Linked DNA regions of Schizosaccharomyces pombe. The protein of the gene in region 2 interacts with the protein of the main gene of each other region in a pairwise test. Each region holds a gene or a part of one and is shown on either strand. Other genes may lie near its edges. The genes, in order: cdc5, cwf4, nrl1 and prp43.

The links.
Region 1: the proteins of cwf4 (region 2) and cdc5 interact in binary tests that used the Schizosaccharomyces pombe proteins (3 or more experiments, as listed by UniProt).
Region 3: the proteins of cwf4 (region 2) and nrl1 interact in a two-hybrid assay, tested with the Schizosaccharomyces pombe proteins (2 studies listed by BioGRID).
Region 4: the proteins of cwf4 (region 2) and prp43 interact in a two-hybrid assay, tested with the Schizosaccharomyces pombe proteins (one study listed by BioGRID).

Annotation. Positions count from the first base shown.
Region 1 is NC_003424.3:2,692,752-2,697,930, forward strand, and holds cdc5 (splicing factor Cdc5), read left to right. Parts: upstream 1-1,947; 5' UTR 1,948-2,006; coding exon 2,007-2,025; exon of another isoform or gene 2,026-2,065; coding exon 2,066-2,085; exon of another isoform or gene 2,086-2,142; intron 2,143-2,151; coding exon 2,152-2,166; exon of another isoform or gene 2,167-2,230; coding exon 2,231-2,350; exon of another isoform or gene 2,351-2,419; coding exon 2,420-2,868; exon of another isoform or gene 2,869-2,932; coding exon 2,933-4,583; 3' UTR 4,584-4,666; downstream 4,667-5,179. Other genes in the region: [pyruvate dehydrogenase (acetyl-transferring)] kinase Pkp1, read right to left, coding at 1-355, 435-601, 685-778; SPOM_SPAC644.13C (Rab GTPase-binding protein), read right to left, coding at 4,667-5,179. UniProt on the Schizosaccharomyces pombe protein: Involved in mRNA splicing and cell cycle control.
Region 2 is NC_003423.3:3,770,285-3,774,834, forward strand, and holds cwf4 (protein Cwf4), read right to left. Parts: upstream 2,866-4,550; 5' UTR 2,774-2,865; coding exon 749-2,773; 3' UTR 572-748; downstream 1-571. Other genes in the region: RNA-binding protein Tma20, read left to right, coding at 3,024-3,034, 3,089-3,241, 3,297-3,394, 3,511-3,715, 3,775-3,832, 3,908-3,928; histone chaperone Hip1, read right to left, coding at 4,073-4,550. UniProt on the Schizosaccharomyces pombe protein: Involved in pre-mRNA splicing and cell cycle progression. Required for the spliceosome assembly and initiation of the DNA replication.
Region 3 is NC_003423.3:3,289,175-3,294,606, forward strand, and holds nrl1 (NRDE-2 family protein), read left to right. Parts: upstream 1-1,711; 5' UTR 1,712-1,857; coding exon 1,858-3,698; intron 3,699-3,736; coding exon 3,737-4,647; intron 4,648-4,691; coding exon 4,692-4,858; 3' UTR 4,859-4,932; downstream 4,933-5,432. Other genes in the region: nse4 (non-structural maintenance of chromosome element 4), read right to left, coding at 292-384, 432-523, 569-788, 827-920, 964-1,222, 1,267-1,347, 1,391-1,454; mitotic spindle checkpoint protein Mad2, read left to right, coding at 5,101-5,170, 5,212-5,358, 5,405-5,432.
Region 4 is NC_003423.3:2,277,953-2,282,770, forward strand, and holds prp43 (ATP-dependent RNA helicase Prp43), read left to right. Parts: upstream 1-1,752; 5' UTR 1,753-1,810; coding exon 1,811-4,018; 3' UTR 4,019-4,287; downstream 4,288-4,818. Other genes in the region: protein arginine N-methyltransferase Skb1, read left to right, coding at 1-1,060, 1,107-1,295; alpha-1,2-mannosyltransferase Omh2, read left to right, coding at 4,614-4,818. UniProt on the Schizosaccharomyces pombe protein: Pre-mRNA processing factor involved in disassembly of spliceosomes after the release of mature mRNA.

The DNA.
Region 1 (5,179 bases), on a different chromosome or scaffold from region 2:
ATATTTGAATACTGTTGTCAATTTGGTTAGTCTTCCTTCGGTATTCTTGTATGTCCAAAGCAATTTCGACTGCAACGTTATCGTGTCTAGTTCGAATGGTATTTAAAAGGTATGCAAAATTACTATTAAATTTTAACAAAGATTCGGGCCAATTACAATCAACGCCATTATCTTGGTCAGAAAAATCTGTTTCAAAATAGCGACCTTTTGAAGAGTCTAAATGAGTATTTGCAAGCGAGGGATTATGAAGAATTTCAGAGTCCATTAAACTTGACCTCCATTTCGGGGCATTGTGATATCGAGCGTGCTTTGGAAGACATTTCGGTAGTTCCACTCCTTTCAGTTCAATAATTTCCTTCAACCAGTTAGCTTTGTTTGATTTCTGGTTATGTTTCGACAAGTATCGAACATGCAAATATACACATTTGACCTACCTCCATAGATCTACCGTAAGCAGCCTTTACGGAAGATATACGCTTCATACTTCGTAGCATCGGTGAAAGATTCTGCAGGTCTTGGATGCGCCGAGCCAAGCGAATGGGCAATTCATCTCGCAAAAACAAGCCAGCCCGGAAAAGTGTTCCTGGTGTAGGGTTCTTGCCTTCATAATAAAAATTAAGCAGTCAGTATAAAATTTCTAGTATGAAGTAATCTAAGAAAAATTAACTGAGCAAAAATTCTTACCAAAATACACTAATTGCTTTAAAGACAACCCTGTTTGAGGATATTGAGCCAAGAGATTGACTTTCTCCTGTAAAGTTTTCCCGAGCACTGACATTTCTTTTAAACCTTAAGTTTTTCTTTAAATTCGATAATGATAAATAGAACAATTGTTCAATCGTAAACTTTGTTGGTTTGTCTAACAAATAGATGATAACCCATGGACGAGCATAAAAAAAGCGGCAATTTGCAAAATATAACCTAAAGAAAGTAAAAGATGAGCTTCAGAAACAAACAAATAAAGCAGTTTCTTAATGTTTTCACACAGAATCTAAGAAAGCTTTTGCTAAACTAATGCATTCATATGTTTGCAAAGTACCCATAAAAATAATGAACTTGAGTGTATTCCATTAAAATTGAAATGCGTGATACATTATACTTCTTTTGCATTGCTTATTTTATTTTTCACAATACTGCTAGCTACACAGTTTGTTATCTAATTTAAGGATACGTAGAACTGCGGTGAGTTTTCCTTGTGGTCTATTATATTACAATACACAGGTCGTATGAGTAGCAACTGAGTATAGGTATTGTATTAACTAGGTTATAAAATGTTACCTATCACTAATATAGCTTATAACTGAACCTCGTTCCTCAGTTCAGTTAAAACTCTATTTATAATATTTCTAAATAGTTGCTATCAACGGGTATCTATGTATATAGACGGATAGTTACCCGTGATGATCAATAGACGGATCTTAATTAGTATTCCAACATATGACATATAGTGATATGTAACGTAGTGTAGTATTGCTGACAAATACGCGGTCATTAGGTTACTTAACGATACACATAATACTGCAATGCTTGTAGTTACTTGTTGATATACCAACCATAAATAAGAGGAAGAGTATGGTAGATCCACCTTCAAGATAAACATATTTGATCATTGCTATATCCTGCTTGTCAAATATTTTCTTAATACTCAACGGTTAGGAATATTCAAAAAAATTTAATGTTGTCCAACGATTTTGCGCTATTATATTTTTGCGATAAAGAAACATGTGCTACATTGAAATAATTTAAGGTAAATATGTGATACGTAGCAAACTGGAAAAAACAATAAAATGAATATTTGGTTTGACTATTAGTGTGTTTAAGAAACTGTTCTTTTAAAAGTTAAAACTACTTTAAATATAAAATATAATTTTGGTCACTTTCTGCTGCACTCGACATTTACCTCAATTTCCCATCCACCCTGTTTCGTCGCAAGTTGTTACAGTTACTACAAACCTCCATTACCACGCTTTCTGACAATTGTCAGGGTTTTGGCGAATATTTAGAAAATGGTTGTTTTAAAAGGAGGTTTGTAACTTTTTTTATTGTATTTTCTAACATAATTTAGGTGCCTGGAAAAATACAGAGGTAAAGACTATGATTTTAACCTTCTACCACGCGCAATGTTTTTGTTACTAACTTATTGGTAAACAGGATGAAATCTTAAAGGTATTTTTTTATTTATTAGTTACATATTTCCTTTAATATTTAGAATACTAACGCAAATTCCTAGGCTGCTGTCAGTAAATACGGTAAAAACCAATGGGCCCGCATAAGTTCATTGCTGGTTCGCAAAACTCCTAAACAATGTAAAGCTCGTTGGTATGAATGGATCGATCCAAGCATTAAAAAGGTATGTTAAACATGTAATCACTATTTGTTATTTGACAAGACCTATTGTTAACATTTCCTTCACATTTAGACTGAATGGAGTCGTGAAGAGGACGAAAAATTATTACACTTAGCTAAGTTACTTCCTACACAGTGGCGGACGATTGCTCCAATTGTAGGTCGGACGGCCACTCAATGTTTAGAACGCTATCAAAAACTTCTTGATGATTTGGAAGCGAAAGAGAACGAGCAGTTGGGATTGATCAGTGGAGAAGGTGCAGAAGCAGCTGCGCCTGTTAACGATCCAAATTCCCGGCTTCGTTTTGGCGAAGCAGAGCCCAATTTAGAAACCCTACCTGCACTCCCTGATGCCATTGACATGGATGAAGACGAAAAAGAGATGTTGAGTGAAGCACGTGCACGTTTAGCAAACACACAAGGAAAGAAAGCCAAACGAAAGGATAGAGAAAAGCAGCTTGAATTAACTAGAAGATTGTCACATCTCCAAAAGCGAAGAGAATTGAAGGCAGCTGGAATCAAGTATGTGTTATTATTATTACTTTATTGTATTGTTTTTCCTTCATTATGTTAATCTATAACTTAGTATAAAGCTCTTCCGTCGAAAGAAGAATGAAATGGATTATAACGCTTCTATTCCATTTGAAAAAAAGCCAGCGATTGGTTTTTATGATACCTCAGAAGAGGACAGGCAAAATTTTCGGGAAAAGCGAGAAGCGGACCAGAAGATAATTGAAAATGGAATACGGAATAATGAAATGGAATCCGAAGGTCGAAAATTTGGTCATTTTGAAAAGCCAAAACCTATTGATAGAGTAAAAAAGCCCAACAAAGATGCCCAAGAAGAAAAAATGCGACGTCTTGCCGAGGCTGAGCAGATGAGCAAGAGGCGGAAGTTGAATTTACCTAGTCCTACTGTGTCTCAAGATGAACTGGATAAAGTAGTGAAACTAGGCTTTGCAGGCGATCGTGCTCGCGCTATGACTGATACGACTCCAGATGCTAATTACAGTACTAATTTGTTAGGAAAGTATACACAAATTGAACGAGCTACTCCATTGAGAACACCAATTAGTGGTGAACTTGAGGGAAGAGAGGATTCAGTTACAATTGAAGTTAGAAATCAATTGATGAGGAACCGCGAACAATCTTCTCTCTTGGGTCAGGAAAGTATACCTTTACAACCTGGTGGTACTGGTTACACAGGAGTTACTCCCAGTCATGCAGCTAATGGCTCAGCTTTGGCAGCACCTCAAGCAACTCCTTTTAGAACACCACGTGACACATTTTCTATTAATGCAGCTGCGGAGCGAGCAGGACGATTAGCAAGTGAAAGAGAAAATAAAATTCGATTGAAGGCTTTGCGAGAATTGCTTGCAAAACTACCTAAACCTAAAAACGACTATGAACTAATGGAGCCTCGATTTGCGGACGAAACTGATGTTGAAGCTACTGTTGGAGTGCTTGAAGAAGACGCAACAGACCGAGAACGTCGTATCCAAGAACGTATTGCAGAAAAAGAAAGGTTGGCAAAAGCGAGGAGGTCACAGGTTATTCAAAGAGATTTGATTCGACCATCTGTAACACAACCAGAAAAATGGAAGCGTTCACTTGAAAATGAAGATCCGACTGCAAATGTTTTATTGAAAGAAATGATTGCTTTGATTTCATCGGACGCCATTAATTATCCGTTTGGAAATTCAAAAGTGAAAGGAACGGCTAACAAAGTGCCTGATTTGTCAAATGAAGAAATTGAGAGGTGTAGATTGTTACTAAAGAAAGAGATAGGGCAACTAGAAAGTGACGATTATATCCAATTCGAGAAGGAATTTTTGGAAACGTACAGTGCACTTCACAACACCTCAAGTTTGTTGCCAGGCTTGGTAATCTACGAGGAAGACGATGAAGACGTTGAAGCCGCTGAAAAGTTTTATACGAACGACATTCAACGAGATTTAGCTAAGAAAGCATTGGAATGTAACAAGTTGGAAAATCGGGTTTATGATTTGGTTAGATCTTCATATGAGCAACGTAATTTTTTGATAAAGAAAATCTCGCATGCTTGGAAGGCTTTGCAAACAGAAAGGAAAAATTTAACGTGCTACGAATTTCTATACAATCAGGAGCGATTAGCTCTACCTAATAGGCTTGAAGCAGCTGAAATAGAGCTAAGCAAAATGCAACAAATCGAGGCGTATGCTCAACAAGATTATGCTAGGGTTACTGGACAAAATTAAACTTCACTTCACTTTGTTTTAAATAATTGTCATAGCTTATCATTCATAGTGTATATTATCATGCCTGAAATAAAACGAAAGTTTTATAAAAAGATAATCCAAGCTAGAGAAAAGTAGAAAAGGAATAAAGGGTATACTGCCAACAATTTTTTGTTGGATAGATTAGAATTTTGTAAAACACCCATAGCAGCGAACAATGTCCAGGCATACATTGCAACAATCACAGGTATGCGTATAAATATTAAGGGAACGAATGCACAAACTATAGAAGCAATCATTAAAGGGAAAGAGGAGTACCCCAATATACACATAGATTGAAAAATGCTAATGTTGGCCCCTAGTAATTTTATATTTAAAGAACAAACCGCTTCCCCAAACCATATGAGCGCGACAACGACTGTAAAAACAGATTCTCGTTCAATCTTGTCAGTAGACAAGGCAAGTGCTAAAGCAATTACGAGGGAAAAAATCAAAGGACCCCACAAGTCCCAGTCGCGTAGTACTTGAGCATTTTTGGGATACAAAACATAGACGAGTTTTTCACCAATAGCTCTAAATTCATTAAATAATGTAACACGAATGGGTTCGTCCAGAGA
Region 2 (4,550 bases):
ATGAATTTTTTCTTTTAAGTCAAAATGTTGCCTAATACGTTGGTCGCATAAGCCGATTTTTGTATTCTGTAAATTCACTTTAGCAGAACATTTGGGTAAACCGGTCCGAATAAGCTGTCAGTGCTGAAAATAACCAATGTCAGATTTTGTAATCTCATTTGATTGACAAGTTCATCAGATCAGCACAACTCCAAACCAGCCGCTTCTTTACCTGTGAGTCCTGCCACTTTGAGTAACAAAACTAAAATTAGTCGCACTGGTAGATACTCGATCGTATGTCAATGGGGCAAGGTAAAGAACAATCAATTTATAAATATAAATATGTACATATTAAATATATTTTGGATTGGATTTTTCATTTTATTGTATTTTAATGTGTTATTTACGAATTGCGTTGGATTCTTCAAAATTGTCATGTTTACAACTTTCTCATTTCTACAAGTGTGATTCCCTCAACATAATATCCATAAATTTTTCGCTTATCTTGCTTAGTAAGTAAACTCAGATCGAAACTCAAGGTTAATAATACTAATATGGATTGCTTGTCTTATTTCTACGCGCCATTCCGGCCTTTCAAATGCAAAAACAGTTATTTTATTATTATCCGAACAGTCCAAAGCGCTGAATATCCTCAACTTCGTAACAACGTCCATTTACATGACCCATTGCCTCGTAAACAATTAATTACTAATATTTTACACGATTACTAAATATTAAACTGATAGCGCCAATAAATGTCATATGTAATCTAGGCCTCCAGCTTCTTTTTAGCCATTTCCTCTTTCCATTTTCGCGAAAGTTCGAGCATTTTGCGCATCTTATCTCCTTGATCAGTCGCCGTATCCGGAAACAGATAGTCCAAATATTCTTCGAATGAACCGTCTTCAAGTCTACGGCGTTTCTTAACAACCTGTGGCATTAGTGAAGAGACATGCTTACGTGTATCTTCCGTGCCATGCATTGCCTCAAATTGTTTCCATGCTTCAAGTAATACAACTCGCTCTTCCTTCAAACCCTGCTGGCGTAAATGGGCCAATGCATTTTCAAAAACATTTCGCGCACGCACAACAGCGGTTGGAGAAGCCACTTCTTCATTCGGTGGTTCTTCGTCATCGTCCTCCAGATGGGCAATTTCAAAGTTTGCAAAACTAATCCAAACTTTAACATGAGGTGCAGTCCGTAGTAACTGCTGGTAAATACTTCTAGCTTTTCCGTATTCCATTTCCTCGAATTCAAAATCAATATAAGCCTTCCACACAAGCTCTGGGGTTTCCAAAATAGGCTGGTTTACAGCCAAATTATATAAAGCGCGAGCACGATCACTATCTCCAAGCTTAGTCTCTAAGGCAGCGTAACCAAGCCAGGGAGCACAAGCCTCGGGATCATAAAGAATCCATTTTTCATAAAGAATTCGACACCTGTCAAACTGCTTAATTGCGTCTTCGAATTCAATATAACCTCGGAATAATTTTGGTTTTGGACACATTCCCAACGCACGACCCAACGTTTTTCTAGCAACATCAATCTTACGTTGCCTAAGCTCAAACATTGCATACATGAGCCATAATTTGGCAAATGTAAATTTTTTATGGGGTATAAGCTTGAGAGCTTCTTGGTAAACCTTTCTTGCGCGGTCAACGTCCTTCACATCTATCTCTTCAAATAAGCAATAGTTTAACCAAATATAAACGTAACGTCTCCATGCGTTCTTTTCAACTACTTCAGGAACCTTAGCAATAGCTTTTTCGTAGGTTTCGCGAATAGTATTAATATCCCCTGCACTTTCTTCGAGCTTCAGCAAATCAAGCCAAGTGTCATAGTCATAAGGAGAATCCTTCAATAGCTTTTCGTATTGTAATCGACGCTTATCGAGCACAGTAGACTCAACGCCCAAATGATCTCCAAATTGTTTTTCAAAATGAGTGTATTCCTTATATAGTTCCATAGATTTTGATCGGGGCATAAAATCAATTGCATATTTGAAAATGGTGCGAGCTCGTTCATATTCCTTTTGACGAATTTCGAATTTTGCAAAAGCAATAAAAAACCGTTCATTCAGAAACTCCTGACCAAGAGCATCTATAGCAGCCAAATAGACTTGGCGAACGTTTGCAGCATTTCCGCATTCTTCTTCAAAACGAGCCCAACGAAGCCAATTCGTTACTTCAGGATGCACAACGACAAATCGTTCATATATGCCACGAGCCCGTTCGTTTTCATGGTACCTCCTCTCCATTCGAATATAACTCATCCAACAGTTTTCATCAGGCTCCCACTTAAGCCATCTTTCAAATACTTGTCTACAACCGGTGATATTTCCTAACATTTCCTCCATATATACGTATTTGTACCATAGTTTATCAACACGGGGAAGCTGTGTAACAGCACGATCAAATAAATTTCTGGCATGGTTGATATTTCGATTCTTCATTTCGCATTCAATATATTTCAGCCATAACGGTATATAAGTAGAATCTACATCCAAAGCTCTTTCAAAAACAGAGCGAGCTCTCGCAAATTCTTTTTGGTCTAATTCCCACTGACCATATCGCATCCAATGGCCCATAGCGAGACGATTCCGTCGAATGGCATCTTCAAATTCTTTACGTTTTCGACCTTGAAATTCTTGAAGCTCCTCAAGATCAGTGATATTAATTTTTGGAGGAACAAACGCCACATCTTGTCGTTCTACAGCTTCTCGGAGCAATTGTTCAGCTGAGATTTGGATGGGTGCTGGGTTCTTATTTTTTACCCTGGGCGCTTCCGAAGTCATCTTATATTATTCTGGATCTCTATAGTGTACAATTACTCAATAAATAATATGCTAGATTTATGTCTTCTCTTAACCAGTTGGCTTTTACTGTTAGAAGACAAAAACGTGCACAAATATGAATGAATATATCTAACGTTTGTAACCCTCGAGGTGGTAATCGGCAACACCGCGGATCATCCGAGAGGAGACCGCGGCTACAACCTAGTAACTTATTGTAGCAATGGTCTGCAGCTCCTATATACTCAATAATATGTTCAAACGGTATTGCTCTAAATTGGATTTATAATTTTGTAGGATGATTGCTAACCTCAACAGATTTAACTCTAGAGAAGATATAAAGGGAACTACTCCAATCAAGTCTTCTATTCAAAGAGGAATAAAAGCAAAACTAGTACAAGCTTATCCTAACTTAAAACAAGTTATCGATGAGTTAATTCCCAAAAAATCACAACTAACTCAAATAAAATGGTTCGTTCTTATCAGCATCCGTGATTTTTAGTATGTCGTACTGATATTGTTTAAGTGAGGATCGTTTATTTTTGTATACTTTGAATGGCGAAATTATCCTTTTCCAGCACTTCGACGGCCCTATCATTCCTTCTCTTCGTCTTGTTCATAAATGTGAGTATAAGCTAACGTAACCGCAACGTTTGATTGGAGTTCTGGTTTTTGTCTAGCTGGTCAGAATCGACAACAACATATCTGTGTTTAGTTCAAATATATACTAATACGCCTAGGTCCGGATGCCTTTACTCAAGTTCGAGTAGACAGAGGAGCTATCAAATTCCTTCTCTCGGGTGCCAATATTATGATTCCTGGCTTGGTTTCCAAAGGCGGCAATTTGCCTGATGACATCGAAAAAGATCAATATGTGATTGTTACAGCTGAGGGAAAGGAAGCCCCTGCTGCAATTGGGCTTACAAAAATGTCTGCTAAAGAAATGTAATATACTATTGACACTCATAACTTGAACTATTAACTAACATGCTTGAATTGTTTAGGAAAGAGACTAATAAAGGAATCGGCATAGAAAATGTGCATTATCTTGGCGACAACTTGGTATGTGATTTACATTTTAAACCATTTATAATTTCCTCTTGCTTATTGGAATGTAATGTTAACTAATATTCACAGTGGAAGACTATTTTAGAATAACATCTATAGTATAAGACATTAAAAGAATAAAATTAATGCATTATTTTGCTTTCAAAACTATTCAGATTTTTCCAATGAGTATTGTATTAGACTTAAACAGAATGCAAGAAAGAAAAGTCAAATTTAAAATAGCCTCAATTTTTTTCAGGTTGATGCGTATTTTTCTATTAATTTGTTTGCACGATCAAATTCATTATCAGTTTGTACTGCTTGTCGTAAAACCACTAACATTTTTGCAACAACTTCTCTTCCTGATAATTTAATTGAACATTTTGTTTGAGTTCGTAGCTCTCCTAAAAATTCCTCCAATTTTTGCCAAAGACCATGATGCATTAATAGTCTGACATAAACTTCGCTTGTTACTAAAAACTCATCATCCAACTTAAGTAATCGAGCAGAAGCGATTTTGTTTTCTAAATGATTAATAGTAACTATGGTCTCAAAATCATCATAACCTTCTTCAGTGATTGCATCAGCTACCATTTTTTGTAATAGTTTTCCTCTTCCAGAATCCATTAAAACATTATTAGTTCGGTGTTCATATATTTTGAGCGGCTGACTTTCGGTTTGAGTATTGCTTTGCAGTAATCCACTTGAATCCCACTCCCGACTTCCTATAGCC
Region 3 (5,432 bases), 480 kb from region 2:
TTCCCCAACGTTCTGCCTTTATTTATTTATTTGGTTATCATGTGGATTCATAACCTAAAAGTTTTGATGCAAAAAATATTCTTGCTGCTTCTAAAATTATTTATTATTTATTTATTGAATCAGATCTCTTCTTGTTAAAAAAGAAAGGAATTGACTTGATTGTATAAAAGGTTTGGGTTATGGAAAGCTCTTATTTTTATCATCTATTAATATATTGTTTTTATCTTAATTACGAAGCGTTATGTCAAATATGGGTAATTAAACTTGAAATTAAAGATTGTTGTATTAGTATCAGCCATACCAAGTATTACTGTTAGTAGATGTTTCAACGGGTGCTCGAGTAGGAATAATGCTTTCTTTGATATTGTATTCTTTAATTATGTTCTGTCATTCGAGAGGTTAGAAAAATTTTTAAACATGAATACACCCACCTCGTACAAATCCATTGTCATATCCAGTACCAATTGAATGTTTCTTATTTCGCCTGCCACGACTTGATCGTCCGTTGGAGGAATGCGTGTTTCTTACAAGTTAATAATAGTTCAAATTCTAAATATAATTGATTTACCAAGCATGAGAATCCCGCTTTCGTTTTCTACGAGGGCAGCTTTGCCTTCTTTGAATAAAAAGCTGACATAAAACAAGTTCTCCACTGTTTGAGGATAACTTTGAGGATTGGTGATGAATTTCAAAAAATTAACAGGCTGGTGTGCTTGAAGTAAACGAGATATGTGCAAGACATTTTTAGTGGTGTTATTTTCTTGGGTAGTAATGTTACGTTCATTCAGCTTCTTGAGTTAGAAAATATAAAAAAAATAAAAATTACCATAGTAGGTTGAGTTAGCACATTCGGGGCTTTTTGTAGTCTTTCTCGCCGCTGGATGTTTCTTTCTTTCTTGCGAAATGATAAAGGACCGACCCTAAAGAGGTTAGATACGCTATTGGAGAAACTATTTTACATACATCAAGTTCAGAGAAGCGGGCTGTTTTTCGCAATTACTTGCCAATTTCCCTAGTCTTGACCATGCTGTGTCAATTTCTTGGATTCGAGTAACATTCGAGTGGGAAGTAGGATAGTTGAGGAATTGCTTAATATTTTTTGTGAATAGTTCAATATTAAACTTGGGCCTTCCAATATGAAGCTGCCTAGCTTTAATGGAAGCCAGATCAACCGTTTTAGTAAGCAGTAAAGCATCTAAGGTTGCTTCAGTAGGAGCATCAACTATTAATTATGTTAACAACTGACAAAGATACACTGATATTCACCTGAAGAAAATAAATCATTAGCAGTAGTAATAGTTTCATATAAGTTATTGTTTTCCTCATCAACCAGTTCCAAACGACTTTCTGCTAAAATGTTAGTAAATTATAAAGTAAAGCTGTACATGACCTTGAACTTTGTTTATTAAGTTCCTATATCGTTTTCTAAGATCCCGTTTATCAATGGAGGACATATCGTGGGTTTTTTGTGATAGTTTTTATTCAAATATAAGCTAGATGACGAAATTAGATTTTGAAGTACAAAATTTGCCCAGTTTCCTCATGAAGGATTTGATCGCGAGCAAATCTTTCAACCTTTAAGCACAACTCTCCAAGATTGGCTTTTAGATTAATAATTTTTAAAATTAAAAAAGTAAAACGTTGAAGAAGAATGTTGCCATTAAGTGTTAGCTTAATCGTTAGTTGATGCTAATAACCAAGTGTTGCTGCTAACGCCAGCAAATATTTTGTCAACGAGCATATGCAAATTATACTGGTATATACGGCAGAAACTATTTAGTATATTTGGATCATTTCAAAGAATATTAGTTATGGGAGCCTTTGTACTTTTTTTCTATTAATTCATAAACACCTATAATGCCGTCTAATCATAACACGTCTGTTCCAAAATTTTCGAGTTTTAACTCAGTCAAGGCAAAAAAAAATCCAATTACAAAGAGCAATAAAAAATATCGATCATCTCATGATCAAGTTTCCTCAAATCATGCGAAATCGAGTTTCCCTTCGCATCGATCAATTCAAAGTAATTTCGCTGTAGACACGAAAGGAGAAAAGCAAAATTTACTTTACGGGATTAATAAGAGGCCCGTTCCTAAATATCATAGATCTTCAAGTTCCGTATATGGATCTGCTCCTCTGCTACGAATAGTCAAAGAGTCAAAGGAGGGCATAACCCTGAATAAGAAAAAATCGTTGGAAATCAAATATGATGAAGAAAGAAGCTTTGATGAAAAAGAAAACGATGAAAGTGAATTTGAAGATGGGCAGCAGGGATTTATTCCATTGTTGGTTAATAGAAACTCGGATCCATCCGAGAAGTCAACGTTTTCTTTAAATATTCTGAAGGCTATTAAGGAAACAGATGAAGAAATAAAAAAAAACCCAGGAAAAGCAAGGTTATGGATAAAAATGTGTGAGTATCAAGAAAGACTTTTGTTTGATGAATTTCGACGGAGCAATTCCGACGACATTAAAGGTAAACTGAAGATTGAAAACAATAGTAGAAGCGTAAAACTATCAATTCTGGAAAAGGCACTTAAAGAAGTTAAAGGATGTGATCATGAAATATTGGTTTCATATTATCTCCAATTGGGCTCAGAAGAATGGAGTAAAGAAGAAACTAATCAGAAATTCGAAGAAGTATTGATTGAGCATCCAGGTTATCTTAATTTGTGGATGAAATATGCCGAATATTTTACTGGAATATCAGAATTTACTTTCAATGATTGTCTAAACATGTTTTCTAAGTGCTTCAAATTTTTAAAGCAAAAATTATCCGATAGAAAATCGTGTAAGGAAAGAGAATCGACAGACGTAACTTCCAATTTTGAAGTAGAGGAGGCCATATTACATTTGCTTATCCGACTATGCGATTTTCTGAAGAATTGCGGATACTATGAGCTTGCTTGGTCCATTTTTCAAGCTAACATGGAGTTATGTTATTTTTATCCGCGGTATTTGGAAAAAAAACTTGACAGTACTTTTTTTGAAAGCTTTTCTAAATTTTGGAATTCAGATACTCCGAAGTTTTCTGAAGAAAATGCTAGGGGATGGTGTAACGTCCTTGATGATGAGTCCAGCCAGCAAAATCAAAATTTCAGTTCAGAAATTGGAATATTTCAAACAGTTAAGTTATGGTATCTTAACGAAAGCAAATTTGATACTAATCCTCCTCCACGTAGTACCATGAGTTGTCGAAAACTTTCAGGAATAGATGATCCATTTAGGTATATTGTCTTCAATGACATACAAGACTTTATAGTTTGTTTTGAAAGCGAAACGATTGCTTTCGCATTCAAGTATAAATTTTTTGCATTTTGCGGAGTACCTCTTTTTCCACCGGGGATTTCAACAAACTCATGGTTTGCTTCTTATGACAAAGGAATTTACAACTTGCTTTTTGGCATGGCTTCCAGTGAATCCTTTATAAATGGACAGATAGCTGAGAAAAACAGCTTTCAATTTCCCTGTAGTATACTACCTTCATACATTGATCTCTTCATTTCTCTTATGTCGTTTAAAAATTTAAATTTCAAGTTATTTGATTACAACCTTGCACATCATGTGAAGGAATCAATGGAGCGTGCTTTTCATCAACTAGTATTTTCGGCGGACGATGAGTATTTAGCGAGCGTTTATTTAATTTATTTAAAGCAAATGGAGACGAAGAACCTAAGTGAGGAGAAACCCCAAGTGAAGTAAGTAGATGTTTTTGTTTCCTTCTAACCAAATTCAGTAAAATTGTAAAGAAGATTCTCAAAAAATACGATAGTTCAGTGTCTGTTTGGAACACTTACGCTCAATTGGAACACTTAAGTGGTGCTTTTACTATGGCTGAAACAATTTTTAAAACAATTTTTCAGATCCATGCTTCCCAATTGCGCTACATTGATAATTTAAATGTATACAAAAACTGGGCTTTTAGAAAGCTACTTATTAATGATACTGAAGGATGCTTAGTTATTATAAAATGCCTGTTGTTTCCTGGTGATAAATCTTTAACTAGCGATAATAATCGAGCATCCGAAATGCTATTTGGTATGTTGGAAAATTGCGCCAGCAAGGAAGAATTGCTGTATGTTTGTCTTATCTATACTATATGGACACACTGTACTGATATGGATTCAATGGATAATTGTGTGTATTTATGCATTCAAAAATTCGAAAGCTATGGATGGGGGGCTTCTTCAGAAATGGAATGCTATTTTTCTTATTGTTCATTGATTTTTTATTATCAAGCTACCACTCTTCAATTCTATAATCTACCCAAGGTTCGACCTTTTTTTGAAAAGGGAGTTACACTTTTCAGTGCAAATACGGCTATATGGGAAGTTTATATATTTTTTGAATCTAAGTTGAGACAAGAGAACAAACCAAAAATTAGGGCTATGAAAATTTTAAAATCTGCTTCAAATGCTGTTGTTACAGCTTGTTGGTACCTTTTTTATGTTGCCGTTCAACAGATTGAGCCAACAAACTCACAGTACTTTTTAAGGACTTTGGATATCACTCTAAATAATGAAAAGTTGAAATCCGTCGCCAAGTTTTGGAGAATATATTTAAAGATTCTCAATTTGCGATTAAATGGTACTGAATGGGTTTCGGCGATTACCACCAAAGCATTGGCTTCCTGCCCCTGTAATAAAGGTAAGTTAATTAAAAACATAGAACATTTCACTGACTAAGTTTAGGGGTTTGTATGGACGTTATAGACTTGCTCTTGAAAAAAGAGATGGAGAGTCGGGCTATTATTTGCTATATAATCATGTTGGAAAAAGGCTTTAGAGTCCATAACGAAATAAGGAGAGATGTTTTAAAGTTTGAAAGAGGAGATGAACTTATTTTGTCCCCAAACTGACATTATTACGATCAATGACTTTTAATGATAGAGATAGTGAAATGAGTTTAAAATGACAGATTAGTTACTTTCAAGTTTGCGTAAATGCTTTAGTAGTCTTATTATTAAAGTTTTCACTTTTGTTTGTTAAATGCTTATATGGTTGCTTTTACGTTGAAAGGGTACCTCTAAGCAACCATCATGGCAGTACCTACTCAATTACTACACAACCTATTGCTTATTACAAAAATCTACAACACAACATGTCTAGCGTTCCCATAAGAACGAATTTTTCACTGAAAGGTTCTTCCAAACTTGTTAGCGAATTTTTTGGTTTGTAAATGTTTCAAATATGCCATGCTAACTTAATGAAGAATATGCGGTGAACTCAATCCTTTTTCAACGAGGAATTTACCCAGCAGAAGACTTCAAAGTTGTTCGGAAATATGGATTAAATATGCTTGTCAGTGTAGATGAAGAGGTCAAGACTTACATTCGAAAAATTGTATCTCAGTTACACAGTGAGTTGTTGTTCTATTATCACTTTTGGAATTAACAAATTTTTAGAATGGATGTTTGCAAAAAAAATTCAAAA
Region 4 (4,818 bases), 1.5 Mb from region 2:
TCCCAACGGCTATCCAGTACTTGGTCGTAAGTTGAGGGCTATTTATGCTTTATATCTACGTCTCAATCCTCGAATTTTACTTTGGGATAATGACGCACCCGAGAAAATAGGTGATTCCCCCGACTACAGCATATATATGAAGCACCTCTTTGATTCACAGCCTCCAGCTCCACTTGTAGAAGATCTCGCGGATTCTTATAAAGACTATCTGCAAGTTCCTCTTCAACCATTGAGCTACAATTTGGAAAACATTACTTATGAAATATTTGAGCGAGATCCCGTTAAGTACGCCCAGTATGAGCAAGCAATTTTTTCTGCGTTGATGGATAGAGACGAATCTTCTGTCACGCGAATTGCCGTTGTGGGTGCGGGAAGAGGTCCATTAGTCGACTGTGCTTTACGTGCGGCAATTTCTTCATCTAGAACGGTTGATATGATCGCCCTTGAGAAAAATCCTAACGCTTTTTCCATGCTATTGATGAGAAACCGCCAGGATTGGGCTGGCAAAGTTACTCTAGTATTTGGAGATATGAGAACATGGAATCCTGATTATAAAATTGACATCCTTGTTAGTGAACTTTTGGGTAGTATGGGAGACAATGAACTTAGTCCGGAGTGTCTAGATGGTGTACAACATGTGCTTGATGAAGAAACTGGGATATGCATTCCATCTTCTTACATCTCCTATGTTACTCCTATTATGTCTCCTAAGCTATGGTCTGAAGCTCGTAATATGAATGACCCAAATGCTTTTGAAAGACAGTACGTGGTTTTAATGAACTCATTTGACTTTTTGGCTGCAGATGATGAGTTCCGTTTTCAGTCCCTTTGGTCCTTCCATCACCCAAACAAAGATAGTGAGGTTTATACTAAAAACTTGCATAACAAACGTTTTGCTAGTGTTCGTTTTCAGGCCTCTAGTCCTGGAATCCTTCACGGTTTTGCAGGATATTTTGAAGCTACATTATATAAGGATATTTCTCTTTCAATTATGCCAGCAACTATGGAAGCGAAGTCTCCTGACATGTTTTCATGGTTCCCTATTTATATGCCCATTAAGGTAAGTTACTATATTTTACGTTGCACTGTATACTAATATTTCCTAGAAACCCATGTACGTCCCAGAAAACAGCCAATTGGAATTTCACATGTGGCGATTGACGGACGGTATGCGGGTTTGGTTTGAGTGGTGTGCCAATGCCTATCTGGTGTTGCGGAATGGAAGTCAAATCAAGTTGTCTTCTACGGAGGTCCACAACATTTCCGGAAAAGCGTTCTCGTGTAATATGTATTAAAAATTAATAGTCCTTCTTTTACATTATTGTTTATGGTTTAAAACGGGTCTTCAAACCATTTTTTTGGAGTTTTGATTATAAAAATTTTTTGGATTTAGTTAAATCTGAATTTAACAAAAGTCGATTAGTTTTAGGATAGCTGTTACAATCAAGATTTTGCTGAGAAAGAAGGAGTAATGCTCCTATACTTATTGTCTTAAACGATTTGCCAGAATTTTAACTATTGTTCTTAAACATTCCTTTTTACACAATTAATTAACAGGCAAATTCATTCAACTGAAATACCCTGTCATTTGCTTACTATACTAGTTAATTAATTTTCATTAATGTATTATATTAGTCCGAACTTGAAAATTAACAACGCATTGCGTTATGCCACTCAATTTTATATAACGAATGTTAAGATAGATGGTTTGTTGGAAAATTCTTTAACTGCTTGTAGTACGGAGTATGCACTGTGTTCTTCGCCATTTACAGAATTGTGGGAAGGGTTTATATAAGGGCGATTTTCGACTATGGAACCAGCTCAGAAGAAACTAAGGCAAGAGTCAAAGAACCCGTATTTGGCACACTTAAACAATGGTGATGATTCTGAGGAAGTTGTTTCTTCGAAAGGGTTGACGCGACGTGCTACGACTGTTGCACAAGCAGCTAAGGCTGAAGAAGGACCAAACAATTTTTTTAATGATAAACCTTTTAGTCAAAATTATTTTAAGATTTTGGAAACTCGAAGAGAGCTTCCTGTATACCAGCAAAGAGAAGAATTTCTCAAAATTTATCACGAGAATCAAATTATTGTTTTCGTTGGTGAAACTGGTTCTGGTAAAACAACACAAATTCCTCAGTTTGTTCTTTATGATGAATTGCCTCATTTAACAAATACACAAATTGCATGTACTCAACCACGTCGTGTTGCAGCTATGTCCGTTGCAAAACGTGTCGCTGACGAAATGGACGTTGACTTGGGCGAGGAAGTTGGTTACAACATTCGTTTTGAAGACTGTAGTGGACCTAACACTCTGTTAAAATATATGACAGATGGTATGCTTTTGCGTGAAGCCATGACAGACCATATGCTCTCTCGTTATTCTTGTATTATTCTTGATGAAGCACATGAGCGTACCTTGGCAACTGATATTTTGATGGGTCTAATGAAGCGTTTGGCTACACGTAGACCCGACCTTAAGATTATTGTCATGTCTGCAACTTTGGATGCTAAAAAGTTTCAAAAATACTTTTTTGATGCTCCCCTTTTAGCTGTTCCAGGTAGAACTTACCCTGTTGAAATTTATTATACCCAAGAACCTGAGCGCGATTATTTAGAAGCCGCGCTTCGTACAGTGCTTCAAATTCATGTTGAAGAGGGCCCCGGTGATATCTTAGTGTTCCTTACAGGTGAAGAAGAGATTGAAGATGCTTGCCGTAAGATTACTTTGGAAGCTGATGATCTTGTACGTGAAGGAGCCGCTGGTCCATTGAAGGTGTATCCACTTTATGGTTCTTTACCGCCAAATCAACAGCAACGTATATTCGAACCAACTCCGGAAGATACAAAATCGGGTTACGGCCGTAAAGTAGTTATATCTACAAACATCGCAGAAACATCCTTAACTATCGATGGTATCGTTTATGTGGTGGATCCTGGTTTTAGTAAACAAAAAATTTATAATCCCCGAATCCGAGTTGAGTCTTTGCTTGTAAGTCCTATTAGCAAAGCCAGTGCACAACAGCGTGCTGGTCGTGCTGGACGTACTCGACCTGGTAAATGTTTCCGCCTTTACACAGAGGAAGCTTTTCGCAAAGAATTGATTGAGCAAACGTATCCTGAGATTTTACGCAGCAATCTCTCGAGTACTGTCTTAGAATTGAAGAAACTAGGTATTGATGACCTCGTTCATTTTGATTATATGGATCCACCCGCTCCGGAGACTATGATGCGTGCTTTAGAAGAGCTGAACTATTTGAACTGTCTGGACGATAATGGCGACTTGACTCCTTTAGGTCGTAAAGCGTCTGAATTCCCACTTGATCCAAATTTGGCTGTAATGCTTATCAGAAGTCCAGAGTTTTATTGCTCAAACGAAGTTTTATCTTTAACAGCTCTTTTATCTGTTCCTAATGTTTTCGTCAGACCTAACTCTGCAAGGAAATTAGCGGATGAGATGCGACAACAATTTACTCATCCTGATGGTGATCACTTGACCTTATTGAACGTTTATCATGCTTATAAATCAGGTGAAGGGACTGCTGACTGGTGTTGGAATCATTTCTTGTCGCATAGAGCGCTAATCAGTGCTGACAATGTAAGAAAACAATTGCGGAGGACAATGGAACGTCAAGAGGTTGAACTCATATCTACCCCTTTTGATGACAAAAACTACTATGTAAATATCCGCCGTGCTCTTGTTAGTGGATTTTTCATGCAAGTTGCCAAAAAGTCTGCAAATGGTAAAAACTATGTGACTATGAAAGATAATCAAGTGGTTTCACTGCATCCTTCATGTGGTTTGTCAGTGACTCCAGAGTGGGTGGTTTATAATGAATTTGTACTTACTACCAAAAGTTTTATTCGAAATGTCACAGCTATTCGTCCTGAATGGTTAATAGAACTAGCTCCCAATTACTATGATTTGGATGATTTCGACAATAATAAAGAAGTCAAATCAGCACTCCAAAAAGTATATCAAATGGCTGCTAGATCAAAAAAGAACGCTCGACGTTAAAATCTAATTTACTGCTCGGTGAATTACAAATATTTAGAAGAAGTGGATAGCGTCTACTTTTAATGGTGTTTTGGATAATTATTTTGTTGACTTGGGATATTTATACATATTTTTTAATTCGATCCTTTATATTTTGATCTCTACATTTATTTAGACTTGGTAATATCAGTGTATATTACTGCATGGGGCTAAACCAGAACTAAAATTAATAAAATATTTCTACAGTTGAAACTACTTTTCATATGCAATGAATAATGTGTATTGGTAACCGCGGTAATTTTAAGTTAGCAGTTTTATTTATAATCTAAAGGCTTTTCCTCCGAAATAATTATTAACATGTTTTTTAAAAAACTTTTTAAAAAGTCGTGCAGCTTTATGCCAAAAATATGAGTGTATTAGTTTTTCTGACCTACGGTATAGGCCTCTCCTGACACCTATAATGTGATTACTGACTTCACTAGAGCAAAGTGAATAACCGAAGGTAAAATAATTGATATTCATTTTGTCTTGCAGTTATAATGGAAGCTAAATACTAGCATTGAAAAACTAAAATTTTTGTAGATTATTTGGGTTAGTCGGTATTTATCAAAAAAAAATGCGGATATCAAGATTGCTGATTAGAGTACTTTTGGGATTCGTGATACTTTTCATTACATACATCCTCTTTCCTTCAATACCAAAAGCATTGGTGAATACTTTAAATGTGTATAAACTAGAGGAGCGTTTAAACTATTACAATGATCGTTTATTAGATGGAAATTTGAAATCGAAGGAATTGGAGAATGCTACGTTCGTAACTT